Drosophila melanogaster: one gene and its partners. The protein of the gene in region 2 binds, or shares a complex with, the protein of the main gene of each other region. Each region holds a gene or a part of one and is shown on either strand. Other genes may lie near its edges.

What was found. Proteins that work in one complex are often made in the same cells at the same time.
Region 1: Strump (region 2) and wash share a complex: the UniProt entries of both Drosophila melanogaster proteins name them as parts of the WASH complex.
Region 3: Strump (region 2) and SWIP share a complex: the UniProt entries of both Drosophila melanogaster proteins name them as parts of the WASH complex.

The regions. Positions count from the first base shown.
Region 1 is NT_033778.4:12,178,558-12,182,873, forward strand, and holds wash (washout), read left to right. Parts: upstream 1-1,935; 5' UTR 1,936-1,983; intron 1,984-2,065; exon of another isoform or gene 2,066-2,068; 5' UTR 2,069-2,143; coding exon 2,144-3,643; 3' UTR 3,644-3,816; downstream 3,817-4,316. Other genes in the region: CG8860 (uncharacterized protein), read right to left, coding at 1,030-1,236; CG13175 (uncharacterized protein), read left to right, coding at 4,239-4,316. UniProt on the Drosophila melanogaster protein: Acts as a nucleation-promoting factor by activating the Arp2/3 complex to induce actin polymerization. Participates in both linear- and branched-actin networks.
Region 2 is NT_037436.4:16,120,198-16,126,572, reverse strand, and holds Strump (strumpellin), read right to left. Parts: upstream 4,572-6,375; 5' UTR 4,480-4,571; exon of another isoform or gene 4,428-4,479; 5' UTR 4,387-4,427; coding exon 4,268-4,386; intron 4,212-4,267; coding exon 4,109-4,211; intron 4,050-4,108; coding exon 1,222-4,049; intron 1,162-1,221; coding exon 790-1,161; intron 728-789; coding exon 574-727; 3' UTR 521-573; downstream 1-520. Other genes in the region: Pgm1 (phosphoglucose mutase 1), read left to right, coding at 1-231, 298-436. UniProt on the Drosophila melanogaster protein: Acts at least in part as component of the WASH complex which may regulate wash nucleation-promoting factor (NPF) activity and is required for its membrane targeting during endosomal sorting.
Region 3 is NC_004354.4:16,312,046-16,318,250, reverse strand, and holds SWIP (strumpellin and WASH-interacting protein), read right to left. Parts: upstream 4,543-6,205; 5' UTR 4,433-4,542; intron 4,372-4,432; 5' UTR 4,370-4,371; coding exon 3,854-4,369; intron 3,793-3,853; coding exon 3,586-3,792; intron 3,530-3,585; coding exon 2,429-3,529; intron 2,367-2,428; coding exon 2,114-2,366; intron 2,060-2,113; coding exon 1,905-2,059; intron 1,839-1,904; coding exon 1,412-1,838; intron 1,348-1,411; coding exon 1,142-1,347; intron 1,082-1,141; coding exon 638-1,081; 3' UTR 501-637; downstream 1-500. Other genes in the region: Cyp1 (cyclophilin 1), read left to right, coding at 1-69; CG9915 (uncharacterized protein), read left to right, coding at 5,285-5,303, 5,369-6,205. UniProt on the Drosophila melanogaster protein: Acts at least in part as component of the WASH complex which may regulate wash nucleation-promoting factor (NPF) activity and is required for its membrane targeting during endosomal sorting.

The DNA of each region.
Region 1 (4,316 bases), on a different chromosome or scaffold from region 2:
GTTTAAAGTGGTCGAACGAACTACAGTGAAAGACATAAATATATGCACGGATTGCTAAATTTGCTTGGGAAAATAAGTAAGTATACTATGTATATTTCATTAATGTATTAATAACTTAAAAAGGCGACGTGTGAGCTTTAACCGTAGCCCAAGTCGCAAATGGTGGTACTTACCAATTCCATATAGATAGATGGGCTTCGTGAACAGCAAGATATCCGAGCTCGAATAACTCGTCGTGGCAGTTCAAAATTCCAGGGCTGGATATCCCCTCGTCTTATGTGCTCTAATACACACTCGGCGTGTAGCAGGTTGTAAGAAATTCGCGTTTAAAATCAAATAACTTAGTGGGCGCTGCCATGTTTTAAAATTTATTCGATAACCGATCCCCGACTTAAAAGGAAAAGTGTGACCATCAATTTATAAAATTTAGCTTATATTTTGTAAAAAAATTGTTGCTTCTTTGTTTAGGAATTTTTAAGAAAAAGCAATTGTGTCGCAGAACAAAACGATGGCTAAAACAGTAATTTTAAAAAGGCATACAACACATATAAAATTATTTTTAAGGTTAAAGAAAGATTTTTATAACAGAATTAAAATCTTCTAATTTTAAAGCAATATTAGGCGAACCCAAATACATGCCATTGTACAATGTAGAATTTAATGTTAAATCATCTCTATGTTAAAATAACAAAATATAAACATTGTCAATTGGAAGAACGATTCAAAATAAGCAACTCGACCTAGATGAATGAAATAGTACAATACATGCCATTTTGTTGCTGAATGATAAGCTAAGATTTTGTTGAATTTTGGCTTAGTTGCATTCGGAAATATATTTACAACATTTTGAGCACACCCTCCAAGCACCCAATTTATAACCAGACTTTCTTATCTCAAACCCAAGCCAAAGATATTACATTGTATTGTGTGTATAAAATCCGAAGAAGGGGCATTTATTTCGCTAAAGATGCGCGTGGAATCGTGAACTACATGTAATCTCTTTCCGGTCCGGGGGCCACCTGCCGCTTTCTAGGATCCCACGATGATGTTGTTAATGGGAATGTGAATCAGCTTGACGAAGAAGCCGATGAAGCCCATGATGGCGAAGCCCACGGCGGTGGCGATGGCGATTTTCTGGAACTCCTTGCGGTCGGGTTTTGTGCAGCGCTTCACCAGGCGGATTGAGTCCTTGGCGAAGGCGCGTCCGGGTTCGGCGAATTTGACAACCTTGTCCATTTTTGATTTGTGAGTATTTAACTAAGAATTACCAATGAACTGAATTGATATTTATTTTGCTGCCGTGTCGCTTCTTGCAGTGTTACCAAGTTCCTCAGCTCAAAACATACTAAAAATTAACGCCTTTCCTTTAGTTGTTAATAAATTTTTTTTTTGGTTGAAATATAAGTGTATTTGAATTATTTTAATTTATTTTGAGTTTTTCTTTAAATTGAACCCATTCAATTATTACTTTGAAGCAAATCATTTAATGAACAGTTTTTAACAATTGATTTGGGCACACTACCCTACCCTAGCGTCGATGGAGGAACGGTGGATTTTTGAACATATGGACGTTTTCTATTTATTTATTTTTTCGTCATTTGGAAGTGAATTCCAAATTCCGTGCTCCGGAATGGCGTGCTTATAGGCTTACATTTGCCTAATTTAGTAATGATCCTGAATAAATGATCCCCTGATTAAAAAAGTTCTCCTAACAGTGGGATGAGTTTGAAAGGTATTTAAAAATGCCGCCTTCTCTAGTAGAAGTACTACAGCCGATCCGTGTCCTTAACTGCTTTATTAACAGTAATAGTTTTGGGAGACACCGCAGTTTATCTGAGGGTTAGTTTATCTGAAGGTTAGTTTGTTTCCTGGTGGTTTGTTTATCTGGTTAGCTTATCTGGGGTCTAGTTTACCTGAATGATAATTTACGTGGGAGTTAGTGTAACTGAGGGTTCAGTTGACTGGTGTTTCGTTTAGCTAGGGGTTAGTTAATCTGAGGTTTCGTAATTTTAAAAGAAATCCATTTAATTATTACTTTGAACCAAATCATTTTTAACATCTTGTAAAGCTTTTAGAGTTGGTCACACTACCATGAACAGCAGTAAAATTGCAAATAAATATGTAATTATTTGGCGATAGAAAAATGGAGGAGTCACCTTACCTGCACAGCCCCTACCAGGTGGCCATTATAGCCACCGACCTGCACCACGAGGATACCATAATCCAAGCAGCCCAGTCCCTGGACTGTCTACACAAAACCATAAACTCGATTTTCGAGCGAATCGATGCCCGCTTGGCGAGAAATGGTTCAAAGGTTGAGGACATAAACAATCGTGTGAAGCGCGCTCAGGCAAAAATCGATGCGCTCGTTGGCTCCAAGCGGGCCATCCAGATCTTTGCACCCGCCCGCTTTCCGGCCAGCGACGTCCTGGCACCGCTGCCAGCCACCTTTCCACAGGTGGCAGCCAATCCCCTAATGGAGCAGCAAGTGGACCAGCTCCCGCAAGGGACGTACAGCAGTCACAGTGCCGCGGACCAGAAGCCGGATGATGCGGACATCTTTTTCCATGTACGTGGCGATCGGGAGCAGGAATCGCCACTGGTCGCCGAACGGAAGATAACCAATCGGACCGCTGGCCTGGGCATCCTGCCTGCGGGTGGAGTGCGCTCCGTACCCTCGCTCATGCGATTCAATACCAATGAGTTCGCCTACGGCGAGGATCTGAATGCCTGGAAGCGATCCCTACCGCCGCAAAATGCTCGACGCGTTGCCAGTCAGTCCACTCAACTCACGGGAGAAAAGCAGCTCGCTCCGGCACCTCATTCGCTGGCCCACGGCACCACCAAACTGGCCACTCCAGCTGGGGACCTGCGCTACAATCCTGCTGCTTTGGCTGCACCCGCCATTGATGTTCCGCTGGACCTGCCCGACCTACCGGGCATAGCGAATGATCTGCAATATGAGCCAGTGGAGGAGCAAACACCAATAGCGCCTTCCCAGCAGTTCGGTGATTTACCAGAGCTGCCGGATTTGGGCCTCGAGGAGCAGGATATAATAGTGCAAGCCATCGCGGCACAGACGCACATTCCGGGACCGGTGCGTAGGAAGAGTGTGGGACAATGTCCTTCGCCAGTTACGGCGGCACCACCGCCTCCTCCTCCGCCACCACCGCCGCCTCCACCTCCTCCACCAGCGCAGACGAGCGCAATTCCATCACCGCCACCCTTTCCCACCAAAGGAGCTGTGAAACCGCTCTCCCCGTCGTTAGCAACACCTCTTAACATGCCGCAGCCGCCTCCAGCTACTGAAGATCCGCGATCTGAGCTTATGGCCGCCATAAGAAACGCCGGTGGAGTGCATGGCGGTCGTCTGCGGTCGCCTGCGGCTGCGCCGCTCGACGTGGTGGACAACAGTCGCTCCAAGGCGGGAGGCGCTGTCACGGGGGATTTGATGGCAGACCTGCATAACAAGCTAATGCTGCGACGCAAGGGAATTTCTGGGAGCCAGAATCCCGTGGAGGCCACTGCTGGCAATCCCCTGATGCAGCAGCTCTCCCGCGTCATACCGCCGCCGGTGCAGCCCCGCAAGGGATCTAAGTCGAGTGACGAACACTCCGAGGACGACGAGGATGGGTGGAACTAGTGAATATTTAGCTTTAGTACCGGTTTAAGTGCCTTGGCTGGCTTAAAGCACTAGCAACCTAGGTTCTCTAGCTTAAAGCATACAAATTTCTAAAACGAATTCCAAATTCTGTGCCCAAGCGAGCATGCCAAATTAGGTCAAAGTCAACCAGTTGAATAAAACTACATATTAGCAGAAATGTGTGTAATTTCTTATTGAGAACATTGGCTAACTTTAATTGATAAAATTACAGGACAATGAAACATTTTGTGATGCTAAATGAAATAAAACAATTCTTTATACTGACTAAAATAAACTCGATATTAAATTATAATAAAACACTAAATTCTAGTTTTAGATAACAGCTATTTTCCTATTTGAAATAAACGAATTTCCCTGTTAAATCCTTAACAGCGCTGTTGTGTTGCTCTCTGCCAGTGCTGTAAAATGCCGCAGTGGAATCACATTTCGGGTAAAAACAAATTGAAATATCCACCGAATTTAAATATTAAAGTTAGAGAAGCTGCCAAATATCTGGAGTTACAATCAGGGACAAGGACAAGGACTACTACACTAGAGGAGAGCTTTTACAAGCAATCCGGTGAAACCACATATAATGACAAGTCCGTCGCGGGATATAAACGATCTTTTTGACGATATTGTCCTGACCGAGGAGAAGGAGGCACGTTTGGGC
Region 2 (6,375 bases):
CAACGAGATGGTGGCCACCATGGAGAAGACCATAACTGCTCCGGAGTTCGTCGGCAAGAGCTATTCCAGCGGCGGAAAAACCTACAAGGTCAAGGAGGCCGACAACTTCAGCTACACAGATCCTGTCGACAAGTCGGTGGCCACGAAACAGGGTCTGCGCATTGTGTTCGAGGATGGCAGCCGCATTGTGGTGCGCCTCAGTGGAACTGGAAGCTCGGGAGCAACCGTTCGGTGAGTCACGATGAGATTTAATATCAAACAATTCTTTTCAATAATAGATGAATTGTTCCTTTTCAGCTTGTACATTGATTCCTATGAGAAGGAGAATGTTTTGGGCCAGGCCAGCGTGATGCTGAAACCCTTGATCGACATCGCCCTGGAGATCTCTCAGCTGCCCAAGTTCACTGGACGCAACGCTCCAACGGTTATCACGTAAAGAGTTCCTGTCAGCGAAGGAACACTGAGATTACCAACCCATCCAACTACAATCTCCTCTTGTACCTCAGCGAGGCATTTCCTTGTTATGTTTCGGATTTATTAAAGTTTGTGTAGCCCAAACCTGTTGGTTAGTTTTCATTTTAGCAGTGTGGATAAATACTCGTACTCGCTAAGTATTATGTTGGGAATGCGCTGCTCCAGAACTCCGAGTGGCAAACGAGCAATGCGTATAAAGGCTAGAAGAAAGTGCAGGGCGGTGACCACCTCGGGACCCAGGATTTCTTTATCCCTAATAAAGAAAAGTGTATGTCATCTGATATTCGTGGATTATCTTGTAACTAAAGTACTTACAGTAACTGAGCCTCCGATACAGTCACCACGTACTGACTCATGTAGGATATATACAGCATCTTGACATTCTTGTGGAACTGCTGCAAGATCGTTACTAGACCCACAATAAAAGGCACATTATCAATGTTATCTTTGGCTGATTTTGGCAACAGACAATCGGTAATCGTGGAATGCTGCATACGACCCAAATGGGCAATGGTGAAAAGAAACATAAAGAGGGCCATGTTATGGGTGTTCTTTGTGATAAGGAAGACTTGCTCTAGGGGCTCAAAGTTTCCCGTATAGAGCAGGGTTTCCTGCAGTTCTGTCAACATGACCACACCCTTTTCATCACAGAGATCCTTGCTGAGAGACAGTTCTAGTAAAAGGGCTCTGTTTGCGGAAGAGATTGCAAATATATAAATATTTTTAGGATGTTATAGTTTGACTTACTTGTTCAGGGTGTCCGCCGTGTTCTCCAGCAACTTGGCATCACATTTACTGCTAAAGCTTAGCTCTCCTGCAATTTCTCTGCGGAGCAGCTGCTTCTGTCCAATGCACAAAACCCAATCCAACAGCGTGGGCCACACTTTCAGCCATCGTTGGGTGTAAGCTTGATAATACTTCAAAGGCTGCTTGGACACCTCCGGAGTTGGGAAGTCCCGGGCCTCCAATTCCCGAGTCAGTGCCGCTAACGTATCCACCCACATACGATCCGAGGTCAGGTTACGCTGTAACCGTTCCAAGTTGCGCTTTAACTCATCAGCCAACATGTGAGCGTAGAGGCGCTCCAATCCCACCATTCCTGCCGGAGCCAAGGCTTCTCTAAGTATCTCAAAGAATCCAGAGCCGGCAAGAACTTCCTGGTGAGGAGCCTTCTTCTCATACCAAGTGCTTTTTAGATCCAGAAAAATAGTTTGCTTGGGATCTGTGCACCGCAGAATTTCGTGGGCCAGACGGCCAATGAAGTTGTTAGACGGATCTCCCAACAGCGGTGGAAAGTTGGGAATGGGTATGATCTGGCTCTGGTGCTCCGATTGAAATTCCTGCACTTTGTTGCGGAGGAAGGCATTGCATTCCTTCTCCACATTGTAGTTAATAATGCGTTGCGATTCCTCCAGCAGGATTCGAAGTCCCTGAACTCTTAAGTAGTCCTCTATATATTCGAAGGATCTTCGATATCCCTCTATTGTTTTCGCCAGAGCTTGCAGTTTTTGTTGAAGAAGCTGCACAGGAGTCTTGCCTTTCTCGGGCGTAAATATTAGGCCCAGATTGTAGGCATTTGCCAGATGATTTACAAGCTCCTTGCGTATCCCATCCTCCAATAGTTGTTTAGGATCCAGCTCGATTACTCCCACTAGAGTTGTTTTCATCATAAGAATTCCCTTCGTAAAAACAGCAATGGAGTTTGTAAGCTGAGCCACCTTGGCCCGCTCCTCAAACTGGGCATAGTCCTTTAGACGCTCCTTCTCCACTTTAGTGGGAAACTCCTTGATAACATTCGTAAGGAGATAGATGATCTTAGCCAGAATACTGAACATGGTCTCTGGAACAATTTGCAGAACGCGGCGCAGGAAGTTTGCTAGCTCGGTGCTGTAATAGTTTGACACAGAGACCAGATCCTCGCTTCTGGCCTGATTGATCCGCATCAGCGGCACCTCCAGGGTGCTGGCCAACTTGAGAAAGACCGCTCGTATACCTATTACCGCCTGTGGCTGTCTTTTGATGTGTTCCTGCATGGGAGGAGTGAAGTCAAACTGCAGTAGATGCCAAGCATAGCTGAAGTCAGTGATCATCTGGATGTGAATCTCAATGTCTTCCTTCAGGTTTATTAGCTGTGCCATTTGATTGAGCATGTCTCGCGTCTCCTGTAGTTGCTGCTTCACCAGCATGTTGGAATGAAGGTTGTGATACTCCTGCACATCGTCCAGTGCTTGCATCACCTGAATAATCAGCCTTCCGGACTTTTGGGGCCTGCTCAATTCCAGTTTCTGGAGACGTCCAGCAACTTCGCCAAACCATTGCTGCAACTGAGGATTCTGTTCAATCTTGGACAAAGGCCTGGAGCCGGCAAAGGCTTCGCTCAACTCATTGAGCCTTTGCATGGCCTCCTCTCTGCTTTTCGTCCAGCGCTCCTCCTTAGTCTGCTGAATCTCTGCCAGGAACTCCCTCACGCTCAGCTCCATTTGGCTGCAGTTAAGCAGTAAGTTATACAGCGTATTCCGATTGAATTGTAGTTCGTGGAGCACACATTTTTGCACTTGACCCGTCAAAGTAGCTGTGTGAGCAAAGATGAAAACTTCCCTTGAGGTGTGCAGGCAAAACCAGCGGAGCAGGACATTGGATTGCCTCATCAGGTGTATGATTTTGTTGGCGTGCTCCAAAACAAAGTTGTCATTTAGAACTCCTTCACGAACAATCTCCTGGGTTTTTTGAGTGATCTTGCCCAATTGCTCCTTTTGCTGCTGACAGAGTGCTTTGATTGCCGGTGGACTTATCACATTTTCAATAGCAGATCGAGCGGCTTTGAAATCCAACCAGGCATCCACCAGATTCACTGTCATGCCCATGTACACGGATATGGTCCAGTTGTCGCAAAAGAACTTGTCCACAATTTCGCGCATCTGTGAGCCTTGGGAATGAAGAACTTGCGGGCAGAAATACAAGCACACATACAGCATGGCCGCCTGAGTAGACAGAGCCGTGGAGCGATGGGCAGGATGTGGATACAGGTTCAGTTGGTTGTATATATCATCGCACCGCAGACGAGCCACCACTAGATCCACGAAATTCTCATCGAAACGGAAGCGAGAGAAGTAGGCCTCCGGGTATCGGGGAACCACAAGGCTAGCAGCTCTAGCGCCTGCCTGTTTGCCACCCAAACCGAGCACTTTAGCGGCAATCGACGGATGAACATAGCCCGTAGATCGGAGCAGGAGACAAACATCATGGATATTACTCTCGTCTCCGCTAGGCGTTGCATCTCCTCCACTATACCGATAGTAGGCGATCAGCAGACGTTCTCTCACATCCCCCGGAATGTGAAAATCGACCATGAGGAGAATCACACCAAAGAGATACAGGGATTCGCAGAGCAGTTGGCGGCCCTCCTCCTCCTGAAGTACCGTCTCCAGCGTCTGCTGGATATAGTAGCCAGTGTTCAATTCCTCGATATATTGCTGGAGATCGGAGGCATAGTGATGGATGCTCTGGAAGGCCAGGTAAAATCGTGTGATTAGCGGAAGCTGGGCACGTGCCTCATCATCGAGTTCGGTCAGTTCCTGAAGGAAATCAGGGTGTTTAATACGGTGTGGTCTCGGGTATATTAACATCAAATTACCGGACTTTGTTCGATCCTCCTCTCGTGATCTTCGGCTATCTTGAAGTAGCTGAAATCCAGAATAAGCTCGCCATATTTCGCCTTATCAGCTTTGTTGTCCAATCTGGGGAGGAGTGGTCACCAATTATTCATTAATTGCAGGTTTTTAATCTATGTTACCTATAAATACTGGGCACGTAGTCCTTGAGGCGCAGGATCTCTGCTATTATAGAATTACCCACCGACACTATATTCAGCAGATTCTGCCCACAGGCATTATTGTCATCCAGAAAACTCATTATGCATTTCCTTGATTTCTGTGATTCTAACAAATGCCTCTCTGGAGAAAGCTTAATTTGTATAATCACATTATTAATTAAAGCTGTACATACTTTTTATCAGTCCACGAATTATGTTATTGTTTGTTTATATTGTCTATTCATTTAGTCATATCAATTCTTTTTTGCACTAGTGTATTATCTGCAGTAATCTTACATAAGTCCGGTCACACTATTTTGTTGTTATAGAGTTACCATGAACTTCGAAATGTTGGCGCATAAATTTGAAGTGAGAAACTGATGATAACAACCTATGAGGTACATAATTTAATAACAATTATTAAATTTATTAAAATGAGATATGAAACTACTATTGTATTGAATAATAAAATTATAATATTGGCTTAATAACTCTATTCGATGCATTAAAGTGCAATAATGATGGAAGATCTAATGGTTTCCGACTTTAGATTCACGATTTCAATTTTAAAATTTAAAAAAGAAAGCAAGTTGTAATACGACATTAAGAAAATTGCCAATTCGTTATGTGTTTCTGGTTGAATCCAAACGTGAATTTGGTTCTATTTATTTTGTGTTAGATTTTCATTCTATGGGAGCTACACAAAGTTTCAGTAGGATTAATTAACATAATAAATGAATATAAAAATATTAATAAAATTAATTAATTCAACTACATAAATTGTAATGATTTAACTAGCTAATTAACTGAGATACCGTTACATATTCCATACGACATAAAATAATAATATGCATAAGCAAACACTGCGCACTAAAATAAATTCTGCATATTCCCAGCTAATAATTCTCCGTGCTCAGTTGAAGTTTTCTCAATTTTTTCTTTTATTTTTTTGCTTAATGTTAAAACATAATAATAATAATATATATATATTCAGTTATATGCCTACCAAACTATGCGCTGTTTACGGTTGCATCTGCATTTTGTTTATCATATTAATTTTTACACACAAAGAATTTGCTTAGAATGGTTTCACTTTTTGCTTAGGTTTACTGAATTACATCAATTGTTGTCAATTTATTTGTTATAATTTTTTTACGGGACTCTATTTTACAAGATTTATCGAGCTAATTGTATAAAATTTGTCTATTTTGTGTGTAGTTCAGATTGGATTAGGGGATTTATGGATCTATGGAGCCTAATGAATCGCCATTCTTAATGGATGAACGAGCGCCACTAATAAAAACATATTTTTTCGGTGTGCCAAGTTGTCTGCGCTCGCATCGCTCCTTGCCATCGATAATTTGTTAATTACGTTTGCGTTTTTACCTAGTTATCTATTAGAAAAACCGTAGCCTAGAATGTATTTACAATTTGTTGGGTTTGTTGTGGTCTTGCCTAACGATTGATTTCCGTTTATACATTATGGGTAATTAAAAATTACATCTTTTTTAAACAACTAAACCTAATTCAATGGATGTTTAAATGGATATTTTTCGGTTCTTTTTTTGATGTGTTCTTTTGTTTTGCTGTTGCTGAACTTGTTTCGATCTAGTTGGTTTTAAAAACCTTTATCTGTAATTCGGTTTCGATTTCTCTTCACGCGCCCTTGCTTTTTACTTAAAATCTAGGAATTATGGTTCGTTTTCGTTTAACAAACTAAGCTAAATAATTAAATATTAATAATTATGTTTATATCGTTTAGATAAGGCCGTCAATGCAGTTGATGCAAACATTATTATGTTACAAATTACAAATCAAACGCCCGCTGACTGCGCGCTCTCTTTTACCTTCTTTTACTTTCCTCTCTATTATTTTATTCTCTTCGTTTACTCTGGTTTTGTTTTGTTTTTGGATTGGTTTGGTTTAAGTTTTACAGAGAATTTATTGGAAAAATAAACGAGCTTTAAATTAGGCTTAAAATCAAATACGATTAGAATTTAGGATTTATGTAAATAAATGTAAAAATAGAAATTAAATAGAGCCGCCTAACTAAAAAGAAACAACAACAGGGGACACGCGACGCATTTAAA
Region 3 (6,205 bases), on a different chromosome or scaffold from region 2:
GAATCTTATGGATCGCAGTCTGGCAAGACCTCCAAGAAGATCATTGTGGCTAACTCTGGTTCTCTTTAAGAAGGTGCGATGCAAAAGCAACAGCAACATTGCAAGAAGAAAAATCTGTTAAGACGAAAACCATTTGCATTTTCTCCAAAACATTTTTTTTTACCAATTACTGTACTGTAATATTACGAGAAAAATACATAACAAACCAACATATTTTCAATAGACATGTTGGGTTTCCTTTGGCCAATCAATTGTATGTGGGGGCCAAAAGTGAATAGAATTAGTGCCCACCAATGTCAGAAAGCGTTCAATTGGCTATATAATATGCATTAAATCTGTAACTTTAACATTTCCATTCACAAAAAAAAAAACAAAGAAGAAAAACAATGAGACGACAAGAGTCGAGAGGGGCTTAGAAAAATGTTTGATCTTTTGATGTTGGCTTACTTACTACTAATAATAGTATTAGTAATGCTGATTATCTAATTGCATATATATATATATATACCAACGTTCTACGCTATGTACCGGAATCGGAATTGTATTTTCGTCTTAATAAATCTGAATAAACGGCAACCAACTACTCAATTGTTTGTTGTCACTGCTGGGATCTTTGGTTTTGGTAAATGGACATATTTTATTGGAAGAATATTTCGGAGCTACTCAAGGTGGCGTACAATAGATTGTATTCATGCTCGTAGGCGTTCACATGTCGTTCGGTTATCGCCACTGTCTGGTGAAGCTTCTCGTCCAGCTGCTCCGGCGCCGTCCGCTGCTGGCCCGCCAAAATGTCGCGCACCTTGGAGCGCTCCGCGTTCAGGTGCTGCGTGATCGTCTGGCTCCAGCCCAGCTCATGGAACTCCGTCTGCTGGTTCAGCATGTTGAGGATGTAGACCAGGCCGATGGCGAAGCCATCCTCGAACAGCGAGATCTTGGTCTGGTCCTTTTTGTAGATCTTTAGCTTCTGCTTGACCCGGTAGTCAATGTAGTTCATGATGAGCGCCGGTGTGATGAGGTAGAAGGTTCGCAGGTGGTGGTTATGTGGATTGCACAAAAAGGGCTGAAAGCCTTGCAGAAGAAGCTGCAATATAAATCCATGGGTTAAGCTGGTTACCTAACTTGTTAAGATCGTAGACTGCACCTTGAAGTAATTTGTGCTATCGGAATAGCACTCCTTCATGTGACCCAGGCTCTTCTCGTACTCCCTGATGGAACCCTCCGTAGCCTCGTGCACTTTGGAGCCCCCGCAACTGAAGTTGCTGTCGAATCTGGTTTTATACGAGCGATTCCGGAAGTTGGCATTCTTGCTTCCAGCCTGCAGGAGGCGCACATAGCCAACAGCGTTGCCTAAAAGCAATATTTACGTTTATATTTTAAGCATTTTCTTGAATTATGGTCTTTAACCACCTACCGACTTGTGTGATAACCTTCCTGAAAAGATCCATATACGTCTCGCCATTGCTGGAGCAGCCTAGCCTTCTGATCTTCTTAAGAAAACTATCGGCGCGCTCATAGGGATACGACTGATAGGACTTGCTGTGCTTGTGCTCCGTGTGAAAACGCAGCTCCTTGAGCAGCCGCGACTTGATCTGCTCGTCGTGGAGGAAGGTGGAGAAGGTGTAAAACTTTTGGCGCAAAAACTGGTATATAAAGTTGACGGTGGTGTTGATGATACCGGTGCCGTGCGTCTGCACCGAGTTGGCCACGTGCCGGGTGCCAATGATGTCGAGGTGCTTGCTCCTGCTGTTCGTCTCCACGAACACCTGCAGGTTCATGTTGTAGGCATACGAGGAGGCGAAAGTGTGTATATTCCGCATGATCTGCAGCACGTCTATGCCCTTGAAAGTGGGAAAGAATTGTTTGGTTAATAGAAGAGATTGCTTATTGATGATTCAATTGGTTACCTGGTCAATTATCTGATTGGGCAGGTGGTCATCGATGGGTTGCAGCTGCAGCACCTTGTTGGCCAAATGACGCATCTTTTCATACGATTTCCAGTCGTGCGGAGCGATTGTCGTTAAGTTGTAGAACGTGGCAGTGAAATAGTTCTCAAGATGATCTAAAATATGTTAATGAATGGCATGATCTCTCAGTTTTGTAACCGATATCTTACCTTTTATAATATTGTAATCACCATCGTTTTCAACTGCAACTGCATTGATGCAGAGACGATAGTCTAAGGCACTTTGCTGGAATGGTTGATCCTGGCTCTGGAAGAGATGCGAAAGGGCCTCCACGCGCAGAAAGAACTCCAGGTGGTTGCTCAAAAACTCAATGATCAAGTCATTCGCTGATTGCTTGGGACACCTTGAACCCCTGAACATGGCCATGATCTTGTCCAGATGATGGCTCACCGACACGAGGTTCTGCCGATGATAAATGGCATAAACATGAAGTTGCTTTGCCAGAAACTGAGTAAGAAACCAACCTGCAAGGAGTAGGGATTGCGTTGGAGTTCGGTGTACTCCTTAAGCACCGAAGTGTCCAGAAACCAGTGATTATATACCAGACTCGAGGACTCCGACGTGTTAAGTTGTCCACCAATATTCCGCATAATGTCGCTGATACTATTAACACGATGTAGGATCGATTTGATCAACTTTTGATTGTCGGCGGGCAGGAGGCGATTATCTAGAAACTCCCCGAGGGCTAGATTTACGAAAGTCAAACGTTGCTTGCTCGGAAATCCCATAATGGACTTCTCGGCCAGCTTTATTGTGGCCAAAAAGTTGATCTTGCGCTGCAGCAACTTGAGGACAACTATCTTCTTTTTCGTTGTGTGCAGCAGGTGTATGACCTTTTGCTTCTGCCATTGTATCAGTGAGCTGATAAAGCGCACGAAATTGATTTGGTTTGACTCAAAGGTCTTCTGAATGACCTTCAGGTACTGCAGCAACCGAGAGACGACGATCCAATCGTTTCTGGTCATGGGCGTCATCAGAGCCACGTGCCGATTGATCAGCGCGACTGCCAGCAGGTTAACTTGATCGGCATAGGAGTGTCCATTGAGAATCAACTGCAGAAAAGTCTTGAGGTGTCCAAAGACTCCCACATCGAATACCCTTTGCATTTGGATGGACCACAGCGATAGTTGGACGCCCAATTGGCGACAGGTCCTCTGATCGCTAAGCCTAAACTTCTCCAATACTGTGCTATGAACTTTTGGGCCTTGTCCATCTTGCGATCGGGCTGAAGACTTCATCAGGGTTTTGGCATGTAGAGAGAGGAATCCGGAAGGCGACCAGAAAACGCTTCGGTTGAGAGGCACCTGCTTATGCCTGGCCACCAAATCGATCACATTCTTGACCAGTTTTCCCTCCATCTGGATGCCTAGCTCATGGACGACGACCACGAAGGTGGTAAGTCGAATAATGTGCTTGGGATCCTCATAGTTTTTAAGTTCGTTACTCGGATTCGCGTCGACGTCGAGAAGCTGCCTACGAATATAGGCATTGGAATGCTGGGTGATGGGGCTAACACTATTCAGGCCAAATTGCTTCTTCAATTCCATCAAATTGTCCAGTAGAATCTGTTTGGAAATATCCATGAAAGGGCGGTTACCATTCACGTTTTTCTTTGACTTACCCGAAAGAAATCCTTGGTGATCAGATTCTCTATATCCATTAGCGATGTACTAAGGCCATTGAGCTCCAAGTTCGCTGATTGGCTATTGGATAGGTTCATCAGCCACTTCTTGTACAGCGCCCACATGGTGGATATCTTCGATTGGTTCGCCAGTTCATTGAATACCACTATGTGTTCCAGTAACTCACTCATTGCATCAAAGACAGCCTGCAAGTTTCGACTTCAATTGGTTACTACACTTGAGATGTGAGTTCGATCGTTGACTTACGAATATGTGGACTTCATTGATGTCCATTGGGACGCTAACAGATGCGGCTATTTGTCTCCAAAGGTTTTGGAGTATCACAATCATGCGATTGAGCAAGAAGTAAACCTGGCAGAAGAAGTCCATGGAGCTGCTCATGCGGACCAAGGATCCCTCCAAGCCGGCGGAACCCTCGGATGTGTGGGTATGTGGCGGGAGCGTATCATCTAATCGAAAGTCGCTGAAAAGGAATGCCAGCTGGAACCGTTTTGCCTTCCTGGACAGATTTCTGCACTGATTGCACAGATTCGCCAGAGTTGTCAGCGGTTTATTGGCCACCAGCTCCGATTCCTCAAAGCTTCTGTCCGGAGCCATGGAATCGTTGCCCATAAAGTTTACCTCGACCACGGGCGACATATATACACACTGTGCAGACTCGGAAACATCCCGATTAGGCACTTTATCTCGCAATAATTTCAATTTCCCATCGTGCTCCGATATGAAGGAGCCGTAATCCCGTAGGATATCCTCGGCAAACATAGCTGAAATAGAAAATATATAGATAAGAATAGTATTCCATAGCTGATATCGGCGTTTTCATACACATAGAGCTTTGCTCTTCCTTCATGTCTACCAATTTTAAAAATATTATTGTTTTGGTTTTCTCATGGCAAATTTAGGGATGGGGCATTTCAAGTGGGTGGATTCCGATTCGATAACGCTAAATTCTCGATATCTTTTGTTTAAACAAGCGTAGTTAAAACCCAAAAACTGTGTAAAATCGAAAATCGCGATTAATTGAATGGAAAAGTTGGTAGCATGTCTATTCCGATAAATGATTTATTTATACAATTTATAAGCAAAAATAATCCTCAGATAATAAATTCATTTTATTTATATAAGAAGCAATATAAATTTTTGATTCAAGAAACAGCGGTAAAAATACATAATCGTAATGACTATGAATATATGCAATACCTAGTTTTCATTCTGACTTAACAAATTAAATCAATTTCTATAAGTTTGGTTATCGATTTCCAAGGATTAAAATCGTACTCCTTGACACGAATACCTGTACGTCGCAGTCTATTTTTAAAACAAGACTTTTGTCCATAAACAAATTTAATTTTGATATTTAAGTTTTGGACTTAAATGTTTTGTAGAATAAGTTATTTCGGATGTCTTATCATAGAAGTTTTGTTATCGATAACAAAAGGCTTGTCGTGTATAAGGGCCCTAAACAGCGTGTATGCATTAGTGTATGTGTACACACAAGCGTTGATGTTCCGTTTCCATTCGTTCCACTGGCCTTACAAATGCCGAGCAATAAAATCGCGTCGTATTTTATAAGTCATTGCAGGAATTATTTAATTTGAGCCTGAAAGCAGTTTGACCAACTGACTAGGCAAATTTGGTTGTGTACTACTAAAAATTTATAGGAATAATTAGTACGGCATGGAAACGTCTGAAATAGGTTGATTACCAAATTGATTCTTAATGGAAATTCTTGTTTAACCATTTTATACACTTAATTTTCAGAAAAGGCCGGCGGCGACGAAGCCGAGACCTTATCCGAGCCACTCGAGAAGACCACAACAGACACGGCCGCAAAAGCGGAGCTAAAGGAAATTCAAGATACCAATCCCGACGCAACCAATTTCGAGCCAGTATTGCCAGAGAAGAGCAAGAGCAAGTCTCCTTCGCCGGCACCCAAGAATGGTGATGATAATGCCGAGGCCATCGCCGATCGCTCGCGTAGTCGCAGTCGCAGTGCTACCAGGAAGAGCGCATCCCGCTCCAGAAGCGGATCCCATAAGTCCCGCAGCGGATCGGTGCACTCGGCAGCCAGTGGCCGGCGTTCGCGCAGTGGCTCCAAGCAGTCGCTAAACGGTTCCCGGCGGTCGCGGAGCGGCTCCGCTCCGTCCCGCAGTGGCTCCCGTCATTCTGGCGCAGCACCGGGATCGCCTGCTGGATCCAGACGTTCGCGCAGCGGCTCTAGACGATCCCGCAGCGGTTCTAGACAATCCCGCAGCGGCTCTAGGCGTTCCCGCAGTGGATCTAAGCAATCGCACCGCTCACGCAGTGGGTCTAAGCGATCCCGCAGTGGATCACGTCGCTCCCGCAGTGGCTCTAGGCGATCCCGCAGTGGGTCTAAGCAATCCCGTGGTGGATCGCGCCGCTCCCGCAGTGGGTCTAAGCAATCGCGCAGTGGATCACGTCGCTCTCGCAGTGGATCTAAGCGATCTCGCAGTAGGTCCGGTTCTAGACGCTCAAATGCATCGCGGAGCGGTTCTCGACGTTCGCGAAGCGGCTCTGTATCTAGACGATCTCGCAGTGGATCTGGATCAAGGCGTTCTCGAAGTGGCTCTAGGCGAT